6 linked regions of the Callithrix jacchus genome follow. The main gene of each other region encodes a partner of the protein of the gene in region 2 in a complex. Links are inferred from orthologs where the notes say so. Each region holds a gene or a part of one and is shown on either strand. Other genes may lie near its edges. The genes, in order: TBL1XR1, HDAC3, CORO2A, NKAP, GPS2 and TBL1X.

What was found.
Region 1: HDAC3 (region 2) and TBL1XR1 share a complex: the UniProt entries of both Homo sapiens proteins name them as parts of the N-Cor repressor complex. The link is inferred for Callithrix jacchus from reciprocal best matches to the Homo sapiens genes HDAC3 and TBL1XR1.
Region 3: HDAC3 (region 2) and CORO2A share a complex: the UniProt entries of both Homo sapiens proteins name them as parts of the N-Cor repressor complex. The link is inferred for Callithrix jacchus from reciprocal best matches to the Homo sapiens genes HDAC3 and CORO2A.
Region 4: HDAC3 (region 2) and NKAP share a complex: the UniProt entries of both Homo sapiens proteins name them as parts of the notch corepressor complex. The link is inferred for Callithrix jacchus from reciprocal best matches to the Homo sapiens genes HDAC3 and NKAP.
Region 5: HDAC3 (region 2) and GPS2 share a complex: the UniProt entries of both Homo sapiens proteins name them as parts of the N-Cor repressor complex. The link is inferred for Callithrix jacchus from reciprocal best matches to the Homo sapiens genes HDAC3 and GPS2.
Region 6: HDAC3 (region 2) and TBL1X share a complex: the UniProt entries of both Homo sapiens proteins name them as parts of the N-Cor repressor complex. The link is inferred for Callithrix jacchus from reciprocal best matches to the Homo sapiens genes HDAC3 and TBL1X.

What each region holds. Positions count from the first base shown.
Region 1 is NC_133518.1:9,886,499-9,889,998, reverse strand, and holds part of TBL1XR1 (F-box-like/WD repeat-containing protein TBL1XR1), read right to left. Parts: intron 2,060-3,500; coding exon 1,958-2,059; intron 1,094-1,957; coding exon 1,067-1,093; 3' UTR 1-1,066. UniProt on the Homo sapiens protein: F-box-like protein involved in the recruitment of the ubiquitin/19S proteasome complex to nuclear receptor-regulated transcription units. Plays an essential role in transcription activation mediated by nuclear receptors.
Region 2 is NC_133503.1:40,058,218-40,061,717, forward strand, and holds part of HDAC3 (histone deacetylase 3), read right to left. Parts: coding exon 3,483-3,500; intron 1,696-3,482; coding exon 1,606-1,695; intron 1,484-1,605; coding exon 1,425-1,483; intron 1,179-1,424; coding exon 1,099-1,178; intron 781-1,098; coding exon 623-780; intron 1-622. UniProt on the Homo sapiens protein: Histone deacetylase that catalyzes the deacetylation of lysine residues on the N-terminal part of the core histones (H2A, H2B, H3 and H4), and some other non-histone substrates.
Region 3 is NC_133502.1:146,257,597-146,261,096, forward strand, and holds part of CORO2A (coronin-2A), read right to left. Parts: intron 2,535-3,500; coding exon 2,355-2,534; intron 1,608-2,354; coding exon 1,491-1,607; intron 390-1,490; coding exon 285-389; intron 1-284.
Region 4 is NC_133524.1:115,910,925-115,914,424, forward strand, and holds part of NKAP (NF-kappa-B-activating protein), read right to left. Parts: intron 2,983-3,500; coding exon 2,912-2,982; intron 2,387-2,911; coding exon 2,246-2,386; intron 520-2,245; coding exon 456-519; intron 1-455. UniProt on the Homo sapiens protein: Acts as a transcriptional repressor. Plays a role as a transcriptional corepressor of the Notch-mediated signaling required for T-cell development. Also involved in the TNF and IL-1 induced NF-kappa-B activation.
Region 5 is NC_133506.1:73,797,811-73,801,767, forward strand, and holds GPS2 (G protein pathway suppressor 2), read right to left. Parts: upstream 2,801-3,957; 5' UTR 2,743-2,800; intron 2,544-2,742; 5' UTR 2,490-2,543; coding exon 2,396-2,489; exon of another isoform or gene 2,266-2,395; intron 2,166-2,265; exon of another isoform or gene 2,034-2,165; coding exon 1,924-2,033; intron 1,840-1,923; coding exon 1,727-1,839; intron 1,595-1,726; coding exon 1,515-1,594; intron 1,424-1,514; coding exon 1,341-1,423; intron 1,170-1,340; coding exon 1,016-1,169; intron 923-1,015; coding exon 833-922; intron 747-832; coding exon 667-746; intron 603-666; coding exon 485-602; intron 305-484; coding exon 171-304; 3' UTR 125-170; downstream 1-124. Other genes in the region: NEURL4 (neuralized-like protein 4), read right to left, coding at 3,514-3,718. UniProt on the Homo sapiens protein: Key regulator of inflammation, lipid metabolism and mitochondrion homeostasis that acts by inhibiting the activity of the ubiquitin-conjugating enzyme UBE2N/Ubc13, thereby inhibiting 'Lys-63'-linked ubiquitination.
Region 6 is NC_133524.1:9,897,329-9,900,828, reverse strand, and holds part of TBL1X (F-box-like/WD repeat-containing protein TBL1X), read right to left. Parts: intron 694-3,500; coding exon 548-693; intron 1-547. UniProt on the Homo sapiens protein: F-box-like protein involved in the recruitment of the ubiquitin/19S proteasome complex to nuclear receptor-regulated transcription units. Plays an essential role in transcription activation mediated by nuclear receptors.

The sequences.
Region 1 (3,500 bases), on a different chromosome or scaffold from region 2:
GAAACATTTTAATCTCTTAAAAAACAAAGCAAAACAAACAAACAACAAAAACCCAAAACTACTTTGCTCCTTTTCACAATAGTGCACATTTTTACCATAATTTAGTTATGGCTACAAAACATCAGAAGATTTTTTTTTTTTTAATGTATCTTCTCTATGGTAATTAAAAAAAAACTTTGTGCCCTTCTAGTCATTAATTGGCAGAAATATGTCCCAAAAAAGAAACTATTGCATTTAAGCCACATCACCAAAAAACAAAGAAAACAAAAATTAAAAAAAAGAAAAAGAAAAGCAAAACAAAACAAAAAAAAAAAAACAGAACCAACAGAGCATAATACCCTTTTACTGATGTGTCTTCCAGATCGACATGACCAAAGTCATTTGTTTTCATTAATTTCCGATTCCCCTTCCACAACATGCACCAACTGAATATATGCTCTGGGAGCCATAAAGTGTACCAAACATCTACCTCTTCAAAAGAATGCATTAAAATATTTAAAGAATTTTTTTGTTGTTCAAAAGGTGAAAAAAATATAAACAAGAAACTGATTCACTCCCTTACTTCATGCATCCATAATCTAAACCAAAAACAAAATGTTAAAGCAAGAACACACTACTGCTGCAAGTTTCTGTAAGTCCATTTTCTCTGTACATACAAACTGCTCGCTACTGAAGGGAAAAAAGAATATACTCCATGGTGTCTGCTGATTCAAAGGGGAGAAACAAGGCTGTCATTTAGTATCCAAAACTGGTACATGTATGTTCTGCTTTTATAATGTATATTTTTCTCTCTTCTGTTTTTCATATCCAAAACTTCTAAATGCTATTTTAGGGGCACAGCAGATTAGATTCCAGCACTTGGTGAACAAAATTCACAAGCTGTGACAAACCTGTCATCTTCAGGGTGCAATTTTGTTTATATACACTGTATGTATATATTTCTTTTAGATTTGGCTGTAGTGGACTGGCCATGGTTCAAGTGGGACTATAGCAGTACATGGGTCAGGGACAGTCATTTTGGCTATGTACACATTCATAGTCGGTCCATGGCTTCCAACTAGTAGCGCTATTTCCGAAGGTCTAATACACAAACCTGTAAGAAATTAAAATAGTCAACCAGTGTATTCAGAATTTCATTGTACATTTTTTGTTTAACTTTTCTATAGTACAATTTGAAATGTTTCTTAGTTCCAAGTTTATAAAACTGGTAAAGCATAATAATCATGGAAATGGGCACTAAACTGACAGAAATCAGATCACTTAAGAAGATCAAGAGAACAACCATGAGCTCAAACTATGGGGAGAAAACCAGGGCTAGGATTTTTAGGAATTACTCTCTGCTGATCAAAAAGGAGAGGGAAAATGCTCAAAACAGACCATTCCCTATCCAGTGGACTCTAACGAAAGATATCACAGATTATATTCAGCTACAGCGTCAGTAAACAGCTACCCTTTCCCACCTTCCATTGCTTCTACAGCTTTGGAAGCCATATTTGCATTGCTGTAAAGAGCTGGCCAACCTCATCCTGAAAACCTTTCAGTATCACACATTCCTCAACAGAGGAACCAACTGCCCCTAATCCCACCTTCCCTGGGCCAACAAACTCTTCTGTGAAGAGGAGAAAGTAGAAATACCCATTAAAAATTCCAATAATCCTCTGAGTGCTACTCTGGTATACCTAATTTCATAAATGAAGGCTCAGATTAAAAATAACTGTCCATTTCTAGATTATAAGGCAGTCTTTTGGTAAGGAAAGCGTGAATTATGTTTGTAATATTTGAATGCAATGCACATGAAACATTTATAGCCTCAGGGTAAAAAAAAAACTCATATCATACCTTAAAATTTATTTGGAAAAAAGAACAAAAACCCACTTTCGTATATCGCTAACAATAAGCTGCATGCTACTGTGAACACACGCCCAACCCCTCTTTGGAAACACTTTACTGTACTTACTGAACCATCTGATGCACTGGCTCCAACTTTGTCTCCTGCTGCATTCCAGCAAACTTCAAAAATTCCACCTGTTCCCCTATAGCTGTGAACTAGAGCACCTGTCTAAAAGAATGAAAAACAAAATCTTAAAAGTCATATACATATTATAAATCCAAATACTGAGATAAAAATATTACACAGCCTTATTTCTAGCAATGAGAGGAGAGACTTAGCTTCAAATATAAAAATAAGTTCTGAAACTCCTTATTTTTTTTTATGAAAAGATAACACCAGCCTGTTCTCAAAAGATTACTCACACACACACATTCAGTTTCTCCAGTGATGATAACAAGGTATCTGGTCTCTCTGACATAGCCAACAATAGCTAGAAGTAAACATTCAGTGCATCACATGAAATAAGTTTTTGCTGTTGCTAAATGATGCATGGGTCTAGCTAACATGTAGAGAAAAAAATTAACTCAGAATTTCTTTGACAAAACAGCTTAAGAGAGGAAATTAACTAACTAGTAAAGCTAATTCCAGTAAAAGTCTGCTATTCACTCCATATTCACTGAGCAGCCCTAAGTTAGGAGATCCATAATAATGTATGTACCCTGTGTTTGAGCCAGGGTCTTGTTCTGTCACCCAGGCTGGATGCGGTTATGCAATCATAGCTCACTGCATCTTCTAACTCCTGGCCTAGAGTGATCCTTCCCTGCCTCTGCCTCCTGAGTAGCTAGGATTACAGGTGCATGCCACCATGCCTAGCTAATTTTAAAAAATTATTTGTAGAGACAAGCCCTCACCATGTTGCTCAGGCTGGTCTTGAACTCTTGGCCTCAAGCAATCCACTCACTCTGGCTTCCCAAAATGTTGGGATTATAAGCATGCGCCACAGTGCCCAGATAGATACGTACACTATTCTTGAAAGGTGTTATAAGTGTAAACAAAAAACACGGCCAGGAATACTAACAATTTCACTGTTCAGCTGTCACTGAAGAATTAAAACTCAGTCCAAAAATGTATTATCCTACGAAACCAGTCAGTTCACAGGACAAAAGATCAGAGGTCCTGTTGTGAAAACTGAAAAATGTGCTTCTGGTGTTCTGCCCTGGCAAATCAGAAAAGTGACCCCTGTAGCTTTATGGTAACCTTAAGTCAAGCTAGAGGTAGATCTATTTAAAAACAACAGGGCGGCAAACCATATACCTTGAAAATACCTCCCATTCAGCCTATCCAAGTTGACCACTAGGCTGGAAGAACGTTGACCTAGCTTTCCTCTTCAAATTTAGCCTGGTAACGTGGCACAAATCACGGATGCATTGCTACTGATTATCAGGCTGGGAAGGCTCAACTGTTTTGTTTATTTAAAATTTCTCCCAACTTAAAATGTCTCATAATTTATGAGATTAAGTTCAAGTATAGTAGGCTTTGAGTATCTATGGTTAACAAGGAGAGAAAAAGTAGCACCAACAAAATATTAGGTATAAAAAATCTATCGTCAACCTACAGACATTCAATCTACAGCCAACTTGGGGGTTAAAAAAACAAAAGAACGTTCTTT
Region 2 (3,500 bases):
TACTATCTAACCCACTGAAACAAGCATGCAAGGATGTATATGTAAAGGGATTCATTGACACATTATTATTGTAATACCAAAAAAATGGAAAATAATGTAAATGTCTATCAATGGTAATTGGTTAAATTTTACGCTATATCCACATGATAGATTATCATACAGCTGATAAAATACTGAAGCAGAGCTATATTAGCTAACATGGAACCAGCTTTATGATGTAAAACAGCATATATATATAGAATGACCCTATTTGTATTCACAAAAAAGCAAAAAACCACACAAAATGTAAATGAGTATGTGTTTGTTTATATGTACATACACATATGTGCATCTATAGAAAAAGGCGTATCCAAAAAAGTAGAAACTATTAACAGTGGTTACTCCTGTGGAATGGGTCTAGGATTGTATGAAAGCAAACAACATATTCTGGTGCTGTTTTAAAATTTTACAATAAATATGTGTTACTTTTGTCATTAAAAATAGCAAAGAAAAGAGTGAGGAAATTGTAGTAGACATGGAGGTAAGCCAGGGGCAATAAAGTTATACCTTCCCATTTACTTTTTTCTCTTTTAAGCCTCCCCAACAAGCCTACCGGAAGCCCCTGAAGTCCCTGCTCCCAGACCTGCTATAGTTCTCCTCAGGACCCCTCTCCTCTGCATCAGCCTCATCAGTCCTGTCATACGTCAGCAGGTCTGCAGGCACATCATGAATCTGAACACTAGGTGCATGGTTCAGCATCTTCAGGTTTTCAAAGATTGTCTGGCGGATCTGGTCCAGATACTGGTTGGAGATGAGGAATAGAGAGTGAGCAGTTCCCAGTGATTCCCAGGGCATGCACTCTCCCAGCTGCCTTTGACCCCTACCATCCTGGTTTTCATCTCAGTGGTAATTTAAGTTTAGGTCCCCCAACTGATAGCTGTCCCTCCCCACCAACCCCAACTGCTTCTGCTTTAACCTACTGCCTCCTAGCCAATAACAGTGACAGTGATGACTTAGAACTTCCTTCTCTTTGGTTTTTTTCTACTTCCCACATCTTTGACCTCTCCTGGGCTCCGCCTTTCAGGAAAAGTTTGTGCTCAGCTTTTCTGAGCTGCTGACCTGGCGTGAGTTCTGATTTTCGATGCGGGTGCTGACATCTGGATGAAGCGTGAAGTCTGGGGCAAAGTACTCGAAGTATTCTTAGGGAGGAGAGGAGAAAGTATGGCTCAGACTAAGAAAGGCAGCTACCAAGACTTCCCAGTCTTTTTCCTTCCCATCCAGAGCCCCTATATAATAGTTGCCCAGTCTTTTCCTTGCTCTGAGCCAGGGGTTTAGTTTGCAGAGCTCTAAGAGTGTAAAATTTTCCATCTGCCTTCAAACCAAGTCATTCTAAAATCTAGTGAGAATGGCCTCCTTGTTGTGGGGGTGTTGTGGGTGGTCCTTACCACTATAGGGAAGCTCCTCACTAATGGCCTCTTCTACCAGCAGCGATGTCTCATATGTCCTGAAACCAACCAGCAGAGGAAAGCAGACTGACCAAGTGGGCTGAAGAGCCCATGTGGCCATATCTGAGGGACCCCCTAGCTCACAGTGTACAACGGGGGAAGAAATCAGGAGGGCGCTCACCAGCAGCGGGCAACATTTCGGACAGTATAACCACCACCACCCAGCACCAGTAGAGGGATATTGAAGCTCTTGACATATTCAACGCATTCCCTATAAAAAGGAACCAGAGGAAGGAGTGGAGGAGGTTGGTTATCAAAAAACAAAGTATATACGTTTAGGTGTTGCCTGAAAGGAGCACAAGGGAACTATAAATATTCTAAATCTTTATCTGGATAGTGAAATTCATTATGTTCAACCCTTAAGATTTATGTATACTTTATATTCTGTGTCTCAATAAAAAATTTAAAATAAAGCATAGTCCCATCTCTGTTCTGCCCAACACCCTCCCTGACACCTGCCTATTAATCAACTACTCTCATCAATGCAAGTTCTGTTGATTCTAAGCCTTCAAAATGTAACTCACGCTGGGTGCAGTGGCTCACACCTGTAATCCTAGCACTTTGGGCGGCTGAGGCAGGTGGACTGCCTGAGCTCAGGAGTTGAAGACCAGCCTGGGCAACACAGCAAAACTCTGTCTCTACTAAAAACACAAAATAAATTAGCCAGGCATGGTGGTGCGTGCCTGTAGTCCCAGCTACTCAGGAGGCTGAGGCAGGAGAATCGCTTGAACCCAGGAGGCAGATCTTACAGTGAGCTGAGATCATGCCACTGTACTCCAGCCTGGATGACAGACCAAGACTCCATCTCAAAAAAAATATATATATATATACATATATATATATTTTGGTCTCTCCATTGCCACCTCCTCCACCTTGGTCTGGGTACCTAACCAAACACCATGGCTTCCTAACTGGTCTTCCCACTTTCATCCCCATTTCCTCTACCCAAAGCTTTCTTTATTCAGCAGTCAGAATAATCACTTTCAAACACAAATCGGATCATGTCACTTTTCTGCTTAAAAATACTACAGTGGTTTCCCAATATCTTTGGAATATAATTCAAACTCCTTATCAGGATCTCAAGGTTCTACACAGTCTCACTATGGTCAGCTTCTCGGACCTCAACTCAAACTACCTCCAGCTTGCTCGCCGTGTTCTACTGAATCAGCTCATTCCTGCCAGAGCCTTTTTTTTTTTTTTTTTAAAGAAACAGTATCTCACTCTGTTGCCCAGACTGAAGTCCAATGGCATAATCATGGCTCACTGTAACCTCAAACTCCTGGGCTTAAGTGATCCTCCTGCCTCAGCTTCCTAAGCAGCTAGGACTATAGGCATGACCATCATGCCCGACTAATTTTGTTTTTTTTCTGTGGAGATGGCTCTCTCTGTGTTGCCCAGGCTGGCCTCAAACTCCTAGCCTCAGGCGATTCTCCCATCTTGGCCTCTAAAAGTGTTAGGATTACAGGTGTATGCACTGGGCCCACCCCTCAGAGCCTTCTGTGGGCCTTTGTCAATGCTTGGGACAGGCTTCTCTCTGCTCCCCTTATGTCTCCTTAAGACTCCTTCTTGGTCACCAGGTGTCAGCTCAGATTTTACTTCCTTAGAAAATGTTTTCCAAATCATACTATATAAAGTAGGTCCCCCATTGTATCCTGTGTCTCAGCTTTCTTTCTGTCTTTCATAGAATTTATAACAATCTATTTCATTTGATTATTTATTTTTTTCTGTTTCCTAAACTGTAAACTTCATGGGAGCCTCCTCATTCCATCCCCATGATGTGGTATGATGCTTGGAACATAATAGGTGTTTAATAAAAATATATTGTGAATGAATAACCATTGAGGGAACCCTGTACAAGATGACATTTCTAGTTCAAGTACAATTTGAAGCTAGTTTTGATTTCCTAGTAGAGGTAAGGCCCATTCCCCAACTATCCCCACCCATGTACTAAGTCCAAGACCACTTAAAAACCTTGGGGAGAAGGAGAGCGAGTCTCACCCATGTCCTCGGATGCTG
Region 3 (3,500 bases), on a different chromosome or scaffold from region 2:
AGACCTGTTCTGCCCCCAGGCCAGCAGGTGCCCCTGCTGAGAAACACCAAAGGTCCCCCCACATCTGGGCCTGGAGTTGGGAAGGGACAAAGTCAAGGTTTCTAGCTAGAGCCCTGGCCCCAGGTGTTCCTAAGGAACCAGGAGTGTGGGAGGTGTTCTTTCTCATGGCAGAAGAGTGGCCAGCGAGGCCTGCCCATCCCTGCCCTGTGCTCCCAATGGCCCCAGGCTGCTGTCTGCCCATCTCAGGTGTCCAGGCGGCCACCTCCGACCGGTGCCAAACTGACCTTTCCCACCAGGTAGAGCATGCTGGTGTCTGCATCATAGAAGGGAAACAGCACACCCGAGGAGCCGTCCAGGTCCTCCTCCATCAGAGGCACAGAGAGGTCATCCTGCAGGGGAAGGGGAGGCAGGGAAGGCCTGGGTCACTCCTGGGGGCCCTCAGTGGTGCTCCCGGAGATGATTCCTGCCATGGCGCTCTGGGCAAGAGTGTGTGTGTCAGAAAAAGTGTGATTTTTATGTGTGTCCTGGGGGAAGATGTCCCCGGTTCTTGGGGTCCAATGTGTGGGCTACTCTCTGGTGGAGATGACATGTTAAAGGCACTAAAATGCTGCTACCACCTATCTTGTCAGCTTCCTGCCCTTAACAAATCACTTTTTTTTTTGAGACAAGGTCTGTCTCTGTCACCGAGGCTGGAGTGCAGTGGTGTAATCATAGCTTACAGCAGCCTCAAACTCTTGGGCTCAAGCAATCCTCTTGCCTCAGCCTCCCAAGTAGCTGGGATTATAGACACACACCACTGCACCCAGCTGATTTTTTGCAGAGATGGGGGTCTTGCTGTGTAGTTCAGACTGGTCTCGAACTCCTGGCCTCAAGTAATCCTCTCACTTTGGCTTCCCAAAGTACTGGGATTACATGCATGTACCACCATGCCTGGCCATAACAAATCACTTTTGACAAATCCGATCTCATTCTACTCTTCCCCTACCTGTTTTTAAAATTTTATTTTAATAGATGAAGAAGGAGACGCAGAGAGAAAGTGTGATTTGCCCAGTCTTTGAAACTCCTGTCAAATGCTCCCTCAAAACACTACCGCAGGCATGGCCCTCACCCCTGCTCTACCCTCAGCTGTCCTGATGAAAGCTCTTCCTCCCCATACCCATTACTACCTCATTTGCTCCGGCTGCCCCCTCTGCCCAGCTGGCCCTCTCCTTCTCCCTTTCTCCTAGTCCTGGTCCCAGACTCAGCTACCTCATCTCGTCTAGCCCAGGGCCTCCACTGGGTCCTGACTTACCTCCCTCCTGTGTAAGATGCACAGGGTCTGGGCGTGCCCAGGGCAATTGGCATCTCCCTGCTATTCTTCCCCAGATCCCCAGCACCTGGCAATCTATGCTAAATGTGTGAGACATAAATGGGTGTCTGAATGAATGCATGTGTGAATGAATGACGCTGGCTCTCAGCTGAGGGGTGATAGTGAGGGGTGCAGGCCTCACCTGGTCCCAGAGGGCCACCTGCCGGTTGTTCCATCGCGATGTGCCCGTGGACATCAGCTTCTTCAGGTTCCCCAGAAACAGCACCTTGCTGGCCCGGTGCCCTTTGTAGCTGGCCTCCTGGAGGGACATGTGCGGTGGGTGTTGGAGAGACGCTGGAGGGGATTCCGGGGAGCAGCTGGGGTTTCCGGCCTCTCTGCTTTGCTTATGCTGCTGCTCCCCCTGGTGAGAAGGCCGCCCTTTCTCACCCCAACTCTGCCTGGAGATTATTCCCAGGGGCACCACCTGGATCCCTCTCATCCACATGGAGTCTCTCCCCACTATCTTTGTTAAGAGTTATTTTTCTGAGCAAGAACAGAAGCAAACCTCTGCCCAGCCCCCTGTTCTTGCTGAAAGAGTATCAGGCACCCCTACCTCGGTAGGCGCTGTCACCTGGCCCATCTTATCTAATCCTTGGAGAGGAAAAACCCACAGCCCATTGTTGCAGATGTGAAAACAGAGGCTAAGAGCAGGAATGCTTGCCTAAGGTTGCACAGGGACTAAACAGTGGTGTCGTCGGCTCTCCTGACCCCGCTGGCCAGTGACAGAGCTGAGGCACACCAACAAGCTTTGGAGTCAGATCATGTTCAGATCCCAGCTCTCCATGTGGGTGAGTCATTTCATCTCTCACAGGCCTTGGTTTTCTCATCTGCAAAATGGAAATGACATATCCCACCCCCAGCAATCCCGAGAGGACAGACGGCGATGGTGCCTGTGAAGGTGTGGCCCCGACGCTGACAGCATCATTGTCCTGTTCTCTGAAGCCTCCCCCTGCACCCCTACCCCTTGCTCCTCTGAGCCCGAGCCAGCCCCTGGCCCAGCACTGACCTGGAGGATGGTCCCTGCTCGGGGGTCAATAACCCGAATCTTGCGGTCTTTGCAGGTGGTGGCCAGCAGGCTGCCGTTGGTGTTGAAGGACATGGAGAGGATCACATCTTGGTGACAGGTAATCGTCCTCACGGGGCTTGTGATGACAGACTCCTTTGTATCCAGGTTCCAGATCATCACCTGCAAGGCAGAGAGCCAGCTCTTAGCACCGGGGCCACCCCGCCCCTGACTCCCCCAGTCACACACTGGCCAGGTTGCAGTGAAACATGGTATCCCCGGGAGGGCAGCACAGCTGGCAGCCTGGCCAGGAAGCCTCGGTGGGAGGATGATGTGCAGGCTGAAGCTGCTTGTGGCAGGAGTAGGAATCCCAGGGCCAGGCTGCCTAGTGATGAAGGGAAAACACCACCTGCCTCTGAACAACAAAACATCCATGCAGGGAGGACCCCAGGGAACCAGCTCGTCCAGGCGGTTTCGGTTATTAGCAGCAGTTTGCACCTCACACAGATCAACAAGGCTGTATGTTTATCCACACAGGCTGTGCATGCAGAGCTCCAGGGCAATCAATCCATTCCTATAGCCTAGGATGGGACTAGCGCCCCCTGGAGCTGTGTATAGAACAACTGGCACAGGCTGGGTGCAGTGGTTCACGCCTGTAATCCCAGCACTTTGAGAGGCTGAGGTGGGCAGATCACCTGAGGTTGGGAATTTGAGACCAGCCTGACCAACATGGAGAAACCTCATCTCTACTAAAAATATAAAAATAGCCAGGCTTGATGGTGCACACTTGTAATCCCAGCTACTTGAGAGGCTGAGGCAGGAGAATCACTTGAACCTGGGAGGCAGAGGCTGCAGCGAGTCAGGATTGCGCCACTGCCCTCCAGCCTGGACAACTGAAGCGAGACTCTGTCTCAAAAAAAAAAACAGAACAACCAGCACAAACAGTCAGCAGCTCTCAGACACCCAACACAAACAGCTAAGAAAGCACTGAAGATCAGAAGAGAGCCCAGGTTCCCTCAGTGCTCCCCACACCCCTTTCAGTTATTTATTTTTGAGACAGGGTTGCCCAGGCTGCAGTGGAGTGGCATGATCATGGCTCACTGTAGCATCAACCTCCTGGGCTCAAGTGATCCTGCCGCCTCAGCCTCC
Region 4 (3,500 bases), on a different chromosome or scaffold from region 2:
TTCAAAAATAAATGATGGATGGTAGATATTGCCCATCATTTGATAATTATTTAGACAGCATGATGGATACAGGAGGGATCATTATACTATTTTACGTAATTTTATATACGTTTGAAATTTTCTGGCTGGGTGCAGTGGCTCATGCCAGTAATCCCAGCACTTTGGGACTCCAAGGTGGGAGGATTCCTTGAGGTCAGGAGTTCCAAACCAGCCTGGCCAACGTGGTGAAACTCCATCTCTACTAAAGTAAACACAAAAATTAGCTAGGCGTGGTGGTGGGTGCCTGTAATCCCAGCTACTTGGGAGGCTGAGATATGAGAATTGATTGAACCAGGGAGGCGGAGGTTGCTGTGAGCCGAGACCACACCACTGCACTCCAGTCTGAGCAACAGAGTAAGACTCTGTCTCAAAAGAAAAAAAAAGAAATTTTCTATAATAAAACTTAAAAAACTGACGATCTGTGTTTCCTCTTCTTTTCCTTTTTCTTGGCTTTCTTTGCTCTCCTTTTGTTATTTTCATCTGCAAATTAAAGCACAGTACAATTAAGAAAAAAAAATTTTAACTCTAAAACCGTAGTACTTTTGAGTAGGTAACTAATCTATTACTGTCCCATTTATTATTGCAAAGAAATTACCTCATTGGAATATTTATTGCTATTTGTCAGGAACTGTAAGAGGTAGTATAAACATAGAAATTAAAGTCACTAGGTATTTGGTGATATAGGGTATTATTATTAATTTTATTGTGTGACATAGTGTTGTGGTTAAGTAGGAAAATGCCTCTCTTTAGGAGATGCATACAGGGTGGAAGTGTGATGATATTTGTAATTGAGTTTGAATATCTCAGCAAAAAGCCCATATTTTGAAGTAAATATGTAAAAATACTAGCAACCACCAAATCTAGGTGATAAGCATATGGTATTAATTATACTATTCTCTTCACTTTTCTCAATATTTAAACATGTTCATGATAAAAAGGAAAAGAAAACTATGTGTGTGTTGGAGGTGGGAGAGAGAATGCTTTCCAGGAGCTCAGGCTAATGGAGGAGACAGATAGGTAAAGAGATCAATACAGACTGGAGTGATAGACAGCTTGGGGAGCCTAGACACACAGAGGAGTCTTAAAATCAGACTGATGTGGGGAGGGAGGTTGAGGAATGGTTGACCAGGAAAGGTTACTCTTAAAGTAGTTCTTTGATTACAAAAGTACAGAAGTATGCCCACTGGTGAAATGAGTAAATGAAGCTGGGTGGAGGGAGGGACTGGCATTGCAGGCAGAGGGCCTCTCTGTCAAGCAACAATTAAGAGAAAAAACGGGGAATACTAAGCAGACAGAAAGTAGTTTTAAGATTACAGAGGATGGTGCAAGAGAGTGTAACAGGGTATATGTGATTAGAGAGAGGTGAGTCAGGGTCTGAACTTTACCCTGAAGGCTATGGATTGCTATTGAAGGATTTTAAGTAGGCATTCGGTGATATAGGGTACTATTACTAATTTCATTGTGTGAGACAGTGTTGTAGTTAAGTATAAAAATGTCTCTTAAGGGATGCATACAGAAATATTTGGAAGTTCTGTCTTCCAGAACTGAGGAAGAGAAGTGATAGGGATGGCCAGGAAACCTGGTTGATATCAGAGGAAGGTGAACCTTTGCGTAATGCTAACCCCTGAGGAGGCACCTTCTGGTCAATCATCAGCCAGGAGACAGTACAAAAAGGAGACTATTTGCGATGCACTATCCCAGATAGGGTGCCTTCCACAAATCAGCAGCCGGCATGAAGGGGGCACTTTATGGCATACCTTTTTGAAAAGTATACAGAGGTGCTCGTTGGGCATGAGAATTACATAAAAGAGCCCTTCCACTGGGCTAATGCAGCCCTGTAAGGCTTACTTTGGTACAGCCCAGCCCCCTGACTTGGTCTGGTGGCACATGCCTTCTACAACTATGCACATCCAATCTGGAGTCAGATCGCTTAGGTTTGAATCCCAACTGTGTGACCTTGGGGATAGTACTTAAAACCTGCTCTGTGTCCACTTCCTCATCTGTAAGATGTACCTTACAGCTATTGTATGAATTAAATGGCAATAATGAATATAAAGCATTTAACGGGATGCCTGGCACAAGGTTAGCAAGCATTCAAAAACTCTTCAGTGCTACTATTATTTTCAGGAACCTTCTTCTAAAATAAGTTTTAAGAAGTAAAACTAGTTTTGAAGCAAGGCTTGCAGAATGCTGTTGGCTTTCTTACCACTGGAGTCTGTTTCAGAATCAGAGTCACTGTCGCTATCTTCAGAATACTTCTTGTGTTTTCTTTTTGATGATTTTTTCTTTCTCCTTTTCTTGAACCTTTCTTTTGAATGGCTAGACTTCTTCTTCTTCTTTCTTTCTTCTAAGAAAATACAAATAAAAAATTATATTCTAAAAAATTATTTCTGAACATCAAAAGAAAAAGATGATGGGCAATTTGAGTAAAAGCAAAGTCTAATGTTCAACTATTTACAAACTGGTATTTTAGGCGGGGCACAGTGGCTCATACCTGTAATCCCAGCACTTTGGGAGGCTGAGGTAGGTGGATCACGAGGTCAGGAGTTCAAGATCAGCCTGACCAACATGGTGAAACTCATCTCTACTAAAAACTCAGAAATTATCTGGGCGTGGCTTGAGCCTATAATCCCAGCTACTCAGGAGGCTGAGGCAGGAGAATTGCTTGAACCTGGGAGGCAGAGGTTGCAGTGAGCCAAGATTGCGCCACTGCACTGCAGCCTGGGCAACAAAGCAAGACTCCATCTCAAAAAACAAACAAAACCCAAAAAAACCCGGATTTTTTTAAATCCCTCAAAAAAATAGCTCTGTATTTCAAAAATACCCTCTGGGTTTTTTTTCTCTTTCTTTTTTTTTTTTTAATTTTAAATACCTTCTGAAGTAGAAGCTGAAGTAGTGCTTTTCTTTGGCTCTTCATCCTCTACTGGTGTATGTTCATCAGAACTGAATTTAAATAAATGGTTATAAGAATTAGGAAAGTGATGAGACATGGACCATGGCGTGTAAAAACACGAACCCCAAATTTTTCAGTAACAGCACTGACTGTCCAAGAACCATTAAAAGCAAGCATTGGAGATCCTGAGGCAGAACTTGGGAATCAAAACAACAACAACAACCACAAAGCAAGCACTGAACTACTTTTGAAAACATGGAGTTCAAGGGTCTACTGCCTTTGTAACAATAACATAACTTATCATTTGTATAATACTTCAGTGTTTACAGAGTGCTATTTAAACAAAGCAGCATGGAGGATTTAGATTTTCAGAAGAAACCACAGGGAAAAAGTAGAGAAACAAGAACCATAAGGAAAGATTAAAGAAACTGGATATAAGAAGGTTGAAAAAAGACTTCACAATTTTATTCTAAGCACGTAAAAGACAAATGGTAAAGCAGCAACTGTTCTGTCTCCTCAGAGCAAGAACCTAACAAACTACAGTCTAAAGAGATTTTGATTTGCTGCA
Region 5 (3,957 bases), on a different chromosome or scaffold from region 2:
GAAACCCACTATCTGTATCACTTTGACTTGCTGTAGACCTGCCAGCCTAACCCAACCCTTCAAGCAGCCTTGACCTATTCCAGACAGTTGGGTGGGAGGCAACACAAACAGCAGCAGCCAGGGGCAGTGGCAGGTAGATTTTATTGGCCTGGGACACACAGGGGGTACCCTCACCCACAGTAGGATGGGGGGTATGGTGTTGAAGATAATAATCTGATGGTCACTTGTGGTAGAATCGCGGGTTCTGGCTGTGTTGGATGAAGGGGAGCCGAGGGCCAGGTTGGCTGGTAGCTGCAAAGCCCGACTGGCGGTGGTGATGAAAAGAGGGCTTTGTCACTGGGCATACTTTCCCTTCCACTAATACCCTTACTGATAACCACCCCCAAAGAGGAAGGTAAAACCAGATGATGTGGGCCACCTGTCCTACCTAATTCTGCTTTTCTGGGATAGGGATTCTGACAGGTAAGGTTATTACCATTCTTACCTTTCCTGCTGGTTGGATCTGCACAGGGAGCTGGGGGGAAGCAAGGAGTCCAGGGGCTGGATGCAGAGCCTGGGGGTGCATGGGGCGCAGAGAGGACTGCAGAGAACAGAGTCAGGGCCTGACGCATACTGAAGCTCCTCTTAACATATCCTTAACCCTGACCTCCCAAGCGCCATACTCACTGAGTCAGAGAAGCCCGTCTGCTGGTTAGCATGTTCCATCTGCTTTTGCAAGGACAGGGCACCACCAGGCTGGAGGAAACCTAGGTGGGGAGCAGGGGCATGTGAAACAATGAGACAGGGAGGGGAGGACCCAGAGAGCTAGAGGTCCTGCATGGGATGTTATCACCTGTCTGAGTGGGCTGAAAGTGGCCGTGTACCGCATAGGGCTGTGGTTGTGGCTGAGATAGGTACTGCACTGCAGGGAACGCTGAAGGAGCTGAGAAAGAGACACGGCTATTAACCCTTTACTCAATAGCATTCCTCTTTTGACCCTGAGGAAAGCCAAGCCCCCATCCCTCCGACGACTCACCTCTGAGCTGCTGACTAGGACTATAAGCTGGCTGTGTGGGCCCATAGTGAGGTGGGGGCTGAGCAGTCCCATAGGCACCACCAGGACTGCCTTGGAATTGTCCATGCTCTGGTGTCCCCGCAAAAGCAGCTGCTGAGCCCACATAGTGCCGAGTCTAAGGAGGGAGAATGAGAACTCACCTACAAGCTCCATGAAAGCTGAAACTCAGTGACTTGTGTATATCTTTATGCTCTTGTTTCCCCCTAAATTTAAGTGCTTGATATGTCTGTGACTTGAATACTGGTGGCAAGGATATTTGGGACTAGGCATCCAATCCTATTCTTACCGTAAGCACTTGGGGTCCAAACATTTGTTTGGCTCTGTCAGCTGCCATAAGCGTGCCTGGGCGATTGTGTCCTCCAGGGCTCCCTAGAAAGGGAGAAGGGCGGCAGGATGCTGAAATGGTAGGCTGCAACCTCAAAGAAGGCTGGTTCTATCAGGTAGTTTTTTTAATCCTCACCTTGCATGCTGAGGAGATGAGTTCCTGTGTGAACAGTCAGGCTCTGCTGGTATGCAGCTGATGTCAGGGTGGTCAGGTCACTGGAGCGGAAGGAAAACAGATCAAAGTCAAGGACAGACACTCTCTCTTTTGTCGTTAAAACACTGGTTGTCTTACTATCTGATCCCAGTTCCACTTAGCCCCCATTTCGGTTTTTATCACTCTGATCCCACCTTTGTTCCTTTCGCCTCCGTTTTTCTTCCTCATGTAAAACTTTCTTGAGCTGCAGGAAAAGCTGGTGCTTTTCTTCCTGTAGGGCCAAAAGCTTCTCCTGCAACTTCAGAATCTGGTATGGGGTGGGGAGAGAAGATGAAGGCAGGGAGAGTCAAGGGAAGAATTTAGAGCTTGGAGAGATCAAGGGACTGCTTACTTGTTCCTTGGTCTCCTCTAGTGACATTCTCTCTTCCATCTCCTTTTTCTTCCTTCTTTCTTGCTCTTCCTTCATCTTCTGTTCCATCATCTTGTCCACCTCTTCTTCCTCTGGAGAATCACGCAGAATGAGGAAGAGGCAGGGTAGTAAAAATTCCAACGTTACAGATTGAAGACCAGCAAAACCCAGTCATCCCAACACGCCTGTGGGCTCTTTGCCTCGAGGGGACAAGCTCCCCAACGCTGCAATAGGGAATGGAATGGAGAGACTTTATCAGGTGCTCTCCAAGGTCCTTCCCAGCTCAAGGGTCCTGGAGAGTGGACTAGGACGCTTAAATCCTACCACAACAGAGCTGTTCGTTCCCTCCTCTGCGCTCGGCAGCGGGCGCGCAGGTTGGCCGGTGGGTTGGGGCCAGCCCTGAGGTACAGGAGCCATTCTGGGCCGTATGCCCTCCGCTATGGCCCCGGCTCACCCTGCCTCTTGCGCTCCCGTTCCATCATAATGTGCCGGTGCAGCGCCCTGGCCATGGCGTTGGAAAGCTTGGGGCGCTCCAGAAGTGCAGGCATGGTGCTGCCGTGGACGCCCGGCTCTGTCTCTCACTGCCAGACCTCAGACGAGACCTACGGAGAGGCGGGCGCTCAGAGGGGCCCGCGCCCGGCTCAGGCGGAAACCCGCTCGCCGCCCCGGTCACGTGTCCCGGGAGCCCGCCACCCGGCCGAGCCCGCAGCCCCCGCTCCAGCACGCGCGCGGGCGGCGCTGGGTCCCCGGCTCGGTGCTGCCGCTCCCTGCCTGGCCAGCCCGGACGCCAACCCTCCTTACCAGCCTTCTCTGCGCTTTTTCCGCGGCTCCGGCGCGCCCTGGACCCTACGTCACATCCGGTGGCCCGACGAGTCCTTCCGGAGTCACGGCGGCGGCCGATCTCACTGATTGGGTGGGAGAAGGCGGAAGCGCGATGCGACGGGTACCCGCGGCGTCCAAACCCCGTCGCCGCACAACTGCCTTGGCATCTTCAGTTCTCTTAATTTCGCGGGCCCGCCTGGCAGTACCCCAGGGGACGCAGGATCCGGAAAGGGGCGCGTGAGAGAGAGGCTGAAGCGGAGGCTCTGAGACGATGTTTATTGGCTCCTTAGAAATCAGAGTCAGTAACAACTGTACAGAGGCCCCCGTCTTCCGTGCGCCCGCCCTTCCCCACTCCCGCCCAGTGGCCCCGGCAAAAGCAGCTTCATGTGGGCACAGGTAGAGACTCCTCTGGGATTCACAGTAACCAGTAACAAAAACTGAAATAAATTAAGTGATGTCGGGGAGGGGAGTAATAGGGAGTTATGTTCCACAAATCAGTGCATGAAGAAGGGTACCAAGGCCTGGAGCTAGGCTCTCGCAGCTCCTCCCCTCAGACGGAGTGCTGGGCGTCTGGACCTGGAGTGTGCCGCTTCCCACCTACATCTGAGAGCCTGCCTACATGCTCCTGAGCGGCCGCCGAGCCCCAGCACCTGCGCATGCCACAGTCACGGGAATGAGGTGGAGGCAGTCGCCACTCGGAGTCCATGGGCCTGAGGCCCGACTGTGCTTGTAGTAGTGGTGTCTCACCCCTCATTCCACCCGTACCAGCAGAGCATAGAGGAGTGTGGCCCCCTTCTCCTTAGTGACCCACTCAAGTTCGGCTGGGCTGAAGTGAGGGTCAGAAGGTTCTCCAAGGGCAGCGGAAGGGGGTCCTGGGGTGTAGGAGCCAGGACGCACACACACCTGGAACGCCACCTGAGCCTGGTGCGTCCGCTGGGATTTGGGGTCCCGGAATCTGTCAGACAAGAAGAAATAGGGGAGTGAAGCCTCTCACCCCATCACCTCTCCCCTTGCAAAGTCTGTTCCAACCACACAAGCCTTGCTTTACCTAGGAAATCCTCTCACCTTTTGGGAACTTCGTTCTAGCTGTTCTTTCTACCTGAAATGCTCTTCCTCCCAAAGCCTGCTCAGCTACCCTTTACTTCCTTCTTCAAGCCTTTGCTCGAATGTCTCCCACCTTCCAGGCTGGAGTGC
Region 6 (3,500 bases), on a different chromosome or scaffold from region 2:
CCAACGATTCTATATTTAACTAAAAAACACAGAACCATGTGGGAGGGGCACTGGAAGCTTGCTACTGTGTCATCCCTGATCAATAAGGTATTAACACAAAGTGGAAAAAAACCCAACTTCCTTTCTTCTTTTTTAAATTTTATTTTAGAGGTAAGAGTCTCACTGTGTAGCCCAGGCTGGAGTGTAGTGGCACAATTATAGCTCACTGAAGCCTCAACCTCTCGGGCTTGAGTGATCTGATCCTCTCAGCTCAGCCTTCCAAGAGCTGGGGCTACAGGTGTGTACCACCACACTGAGCTAATTTTAAACTTTTTGTAGAAATGCTGTTTCACCATGTTGTCCAGGCTGGTCTCAAACTCCTGGGCCCAAGTGGACCTCCTGCCTCAGCCTCCCAAAGTCCTGGTATTATAGGCCTAAGCCACTGTACCCTGCCACTGAATTAATCCCAAATGCCTGAGGGATATGCATGTTAGTTTCCAATGTGTTTCAAGCTTTTGCAGCTTCCCAGGGCTCTACTGTTTGGGGACCGAGCCCGGCAGCTACATACCTCATTGATACTGATCTCGGCCTCTACATACTGCAGGCCCTTCTGGAGAATGGAGATGAGGGCAGCCGGCGGCACTAGTGTCCCATTGATGTTGGACTGGCTGATGTGGCTCTCGATCCCGAATGTGAAAGCCGAGTGGGAAAAACCTGCAGCAAGAGGGGAAAGCCGAGGTTGAATGAGACCCAAACTGACCGAGGGAGGTGCAGCCATTGAGATCTGAGGGTGGCCTGCGGATTTCAAACACACTTAGTTTATGGGGGCAGACACGGCTGTAGAATGCCCAGAGATGCTTCTGATTTGGGTTCAATAAGGTAGGAAAGGGCAGAGGAAGAAGGAGGGATTTCAGACCCAGGAAGACCAGGTTGGTATGTGATGAAACAAGGGCCTTTAATGGTAGACCCATTTCAGTGTTATTAATAATAAAACAGAACAGACAATAGAGTTTGCCCTGCGTGCCCCGGTTGGACATATCTGTTACTGAAATTTGGCTCCAGGCTCCCCGCAACTCTGCGGTTCATATGACTCTACAGAAGCTCATGCCGAAGACTCTCCGTGTCACCCCCTGCAAGCATACAGGGCACCTTTCTTCAGCCCAAGATGAGGGAACAGCAAACGCTGACCCTGAGTGCTCCTAGCACGTGGGGCAAGTGCATCACAACCCAACATCTGAAGACGGAGAAGAGGCCAATCTCGACTGACTGGTGTGGTACTGTCATTTTCTCCAAACACTGGGAATTTTCTCCTGGCTAATAGATGTTGGCTCTTTTCCTTTCCTCCCCGACTGCATCTCCTTCACTCCTGCTGTAGGAAGCTGCTGATCAATGATGCCTGGCAATTTAAAGGTGTTTTCAGATCAGCTTTGGATGAAGGCTCTTGAATGAAGCTGTTGGGAAGGGGATCAGGACTGAATACACAGAAAGCCATGCCTTGCTCTTGTGGATGATGCCTGCTTCAAGGAAAGAAGGCAACGACACTGGGCATGTATGTGGAGGTCGGCCGGGTGATGGGGAAGCTGCAACAGCCCTTCCTCAAGGAGAGGGAGGGAGGCGGCATCCTACTGCCAGCAAGTCTAGGCTGCTGCAGGGAGTTTCCTAAAACAGGAAACCCCGCCTGGCAGGGCTGGGTCACTTTGCTTGGTGCAGAGGCGGACTGGGGGTGTATAGGAGCTTGAAATCCTTGAGAGTTGGAGGAACATGGACCCCCATGCTTGTCTCCCTGGCAACAGGTGGGACAGACACCAAGGCATTCCCATAGTGTGTCTTTCAACTCTCACATTGTTTACATCCTCCACGGATGAGGCAAATGAGCAGGAAGCAGGGAGTTCTGAAAGTGGCCACTGTACCTCCCTGGTTAGGCCACTCTGCAGGCTGAGGATCTGGTTATCCCAGGAGATGGGACTATCAGCCTCGCTGGGCGTGTGTTCCTCTTCGTCATCTTTCATTCAGCCAAAGGGGGGCAGTGGCAGCCGGCTTCCCTCCGCTTCCACATCAGTGGCCTTCTGTCTCTCCTTATCCAAATACGAACTGACCTTGCATAAACAAAATGCTCGCCAGATGGGAATGTTCATTCCTCCAGGAGAGGAGCTCTGCGCTTTGCTCTCCTTGCTGCTTTCTGATATTTCACTTTTCTCTGTCTACTCCCTCCTCTTCAATCCACCCTCTATTCTGTCCCCATCTCCAGGTTGTAAAGAACATATTGAATGTGTGGTTGAGATTTATCTAATAGAGTACTAGGGTAGCTGCTATTAATTTTACAATCCATTGCACAGAGCCTTGTATATTTCTTTACGAAACTAACCGCCTACATTAGGTTGCAAAGGAGCCCTTTCCAGGTTCCCCTATCCCCAAGGGTTCCTCCACCCCTGTGTTTTTGGAGGATATAAGCCAAGGTTCTTTACAACAACCTTATCTTTTCCTTCTAACTTGTTTTCTCTCTATCTACCTTCCTTTTCCCCTACCCACTCCTACCAAAATGAAGCAACCCACCCTTGGATTCACCAATGACTCTATTTTCCGCCATGTTATACACAGTTTTACCTGCAAGCTTTTATCATTGAGATCTTTGGCGAAGTGTGGAATAGAAAAACCTCAGTCAATGAATAAAGCAGGACCTCACTGCATTCTTGGCCCAACGCTCTATTGCATGGACTCTTCCTTATCTACTCCAGGCCACGGTGATTCCTCTCTCATAGACACCATGACCCTCATGGCTGGTAGGAGCCACTCACCTGGCTCCTACTCAATGGCTTTAAGTCTCTCAACATCATTCTGTCACTGTCCTTTTTCCTTGATGAATCAGGTCTCTGAGATCTTTTGAGCGTAACTGACAGGTTCTGATTGCTCAGTTTGTAGGGGTGGGGCTGAGAACCAAGCCTCGGCAGCCAGAAACTATTCTTAGCCACCATGAAACCGCATCTAGAAACATCTATCGAATGCACCAGAAACCAGCATTAGGTGCTGATGAGGGTTCCTGACAAGCAAACCTCATGGCTGATGGAGCAATTGTGGAAGGAGAGTCTCATGCTCCTGGCATATTTTATTCATCTACTCTCACTCATTCATTCCCACAAGCAGCACTGGGCCACAGAACTGATACCTGCAGTCATACGCTCTGTGAAACAGAGCCGATTCTGACCACATTACCACCTTCAACCAAACCTGGGCACTCTGTCCACTACCTCAGCCTCTGTAGCGGCTGTTCAGAGTGGGTACTGTTTTTGTTTCACATATGAGGACAAACACTGGAGACATCAGGTAACCCGCCCACGGTTTATGTGATAAGAGGCTGAACTAAACTGTGAACCATAGACCATCTGACTTTGAAATTCCGCTTTTTACTTTATCCTCCAAGACCCAAAGGCACAGAAACCAAAATTCTTGAATTATCTGCGTGGACATGGACTCCATTTCCAACTGGCTACTTAGCTAGACCACTGGCAGCTCTGAACAACAGC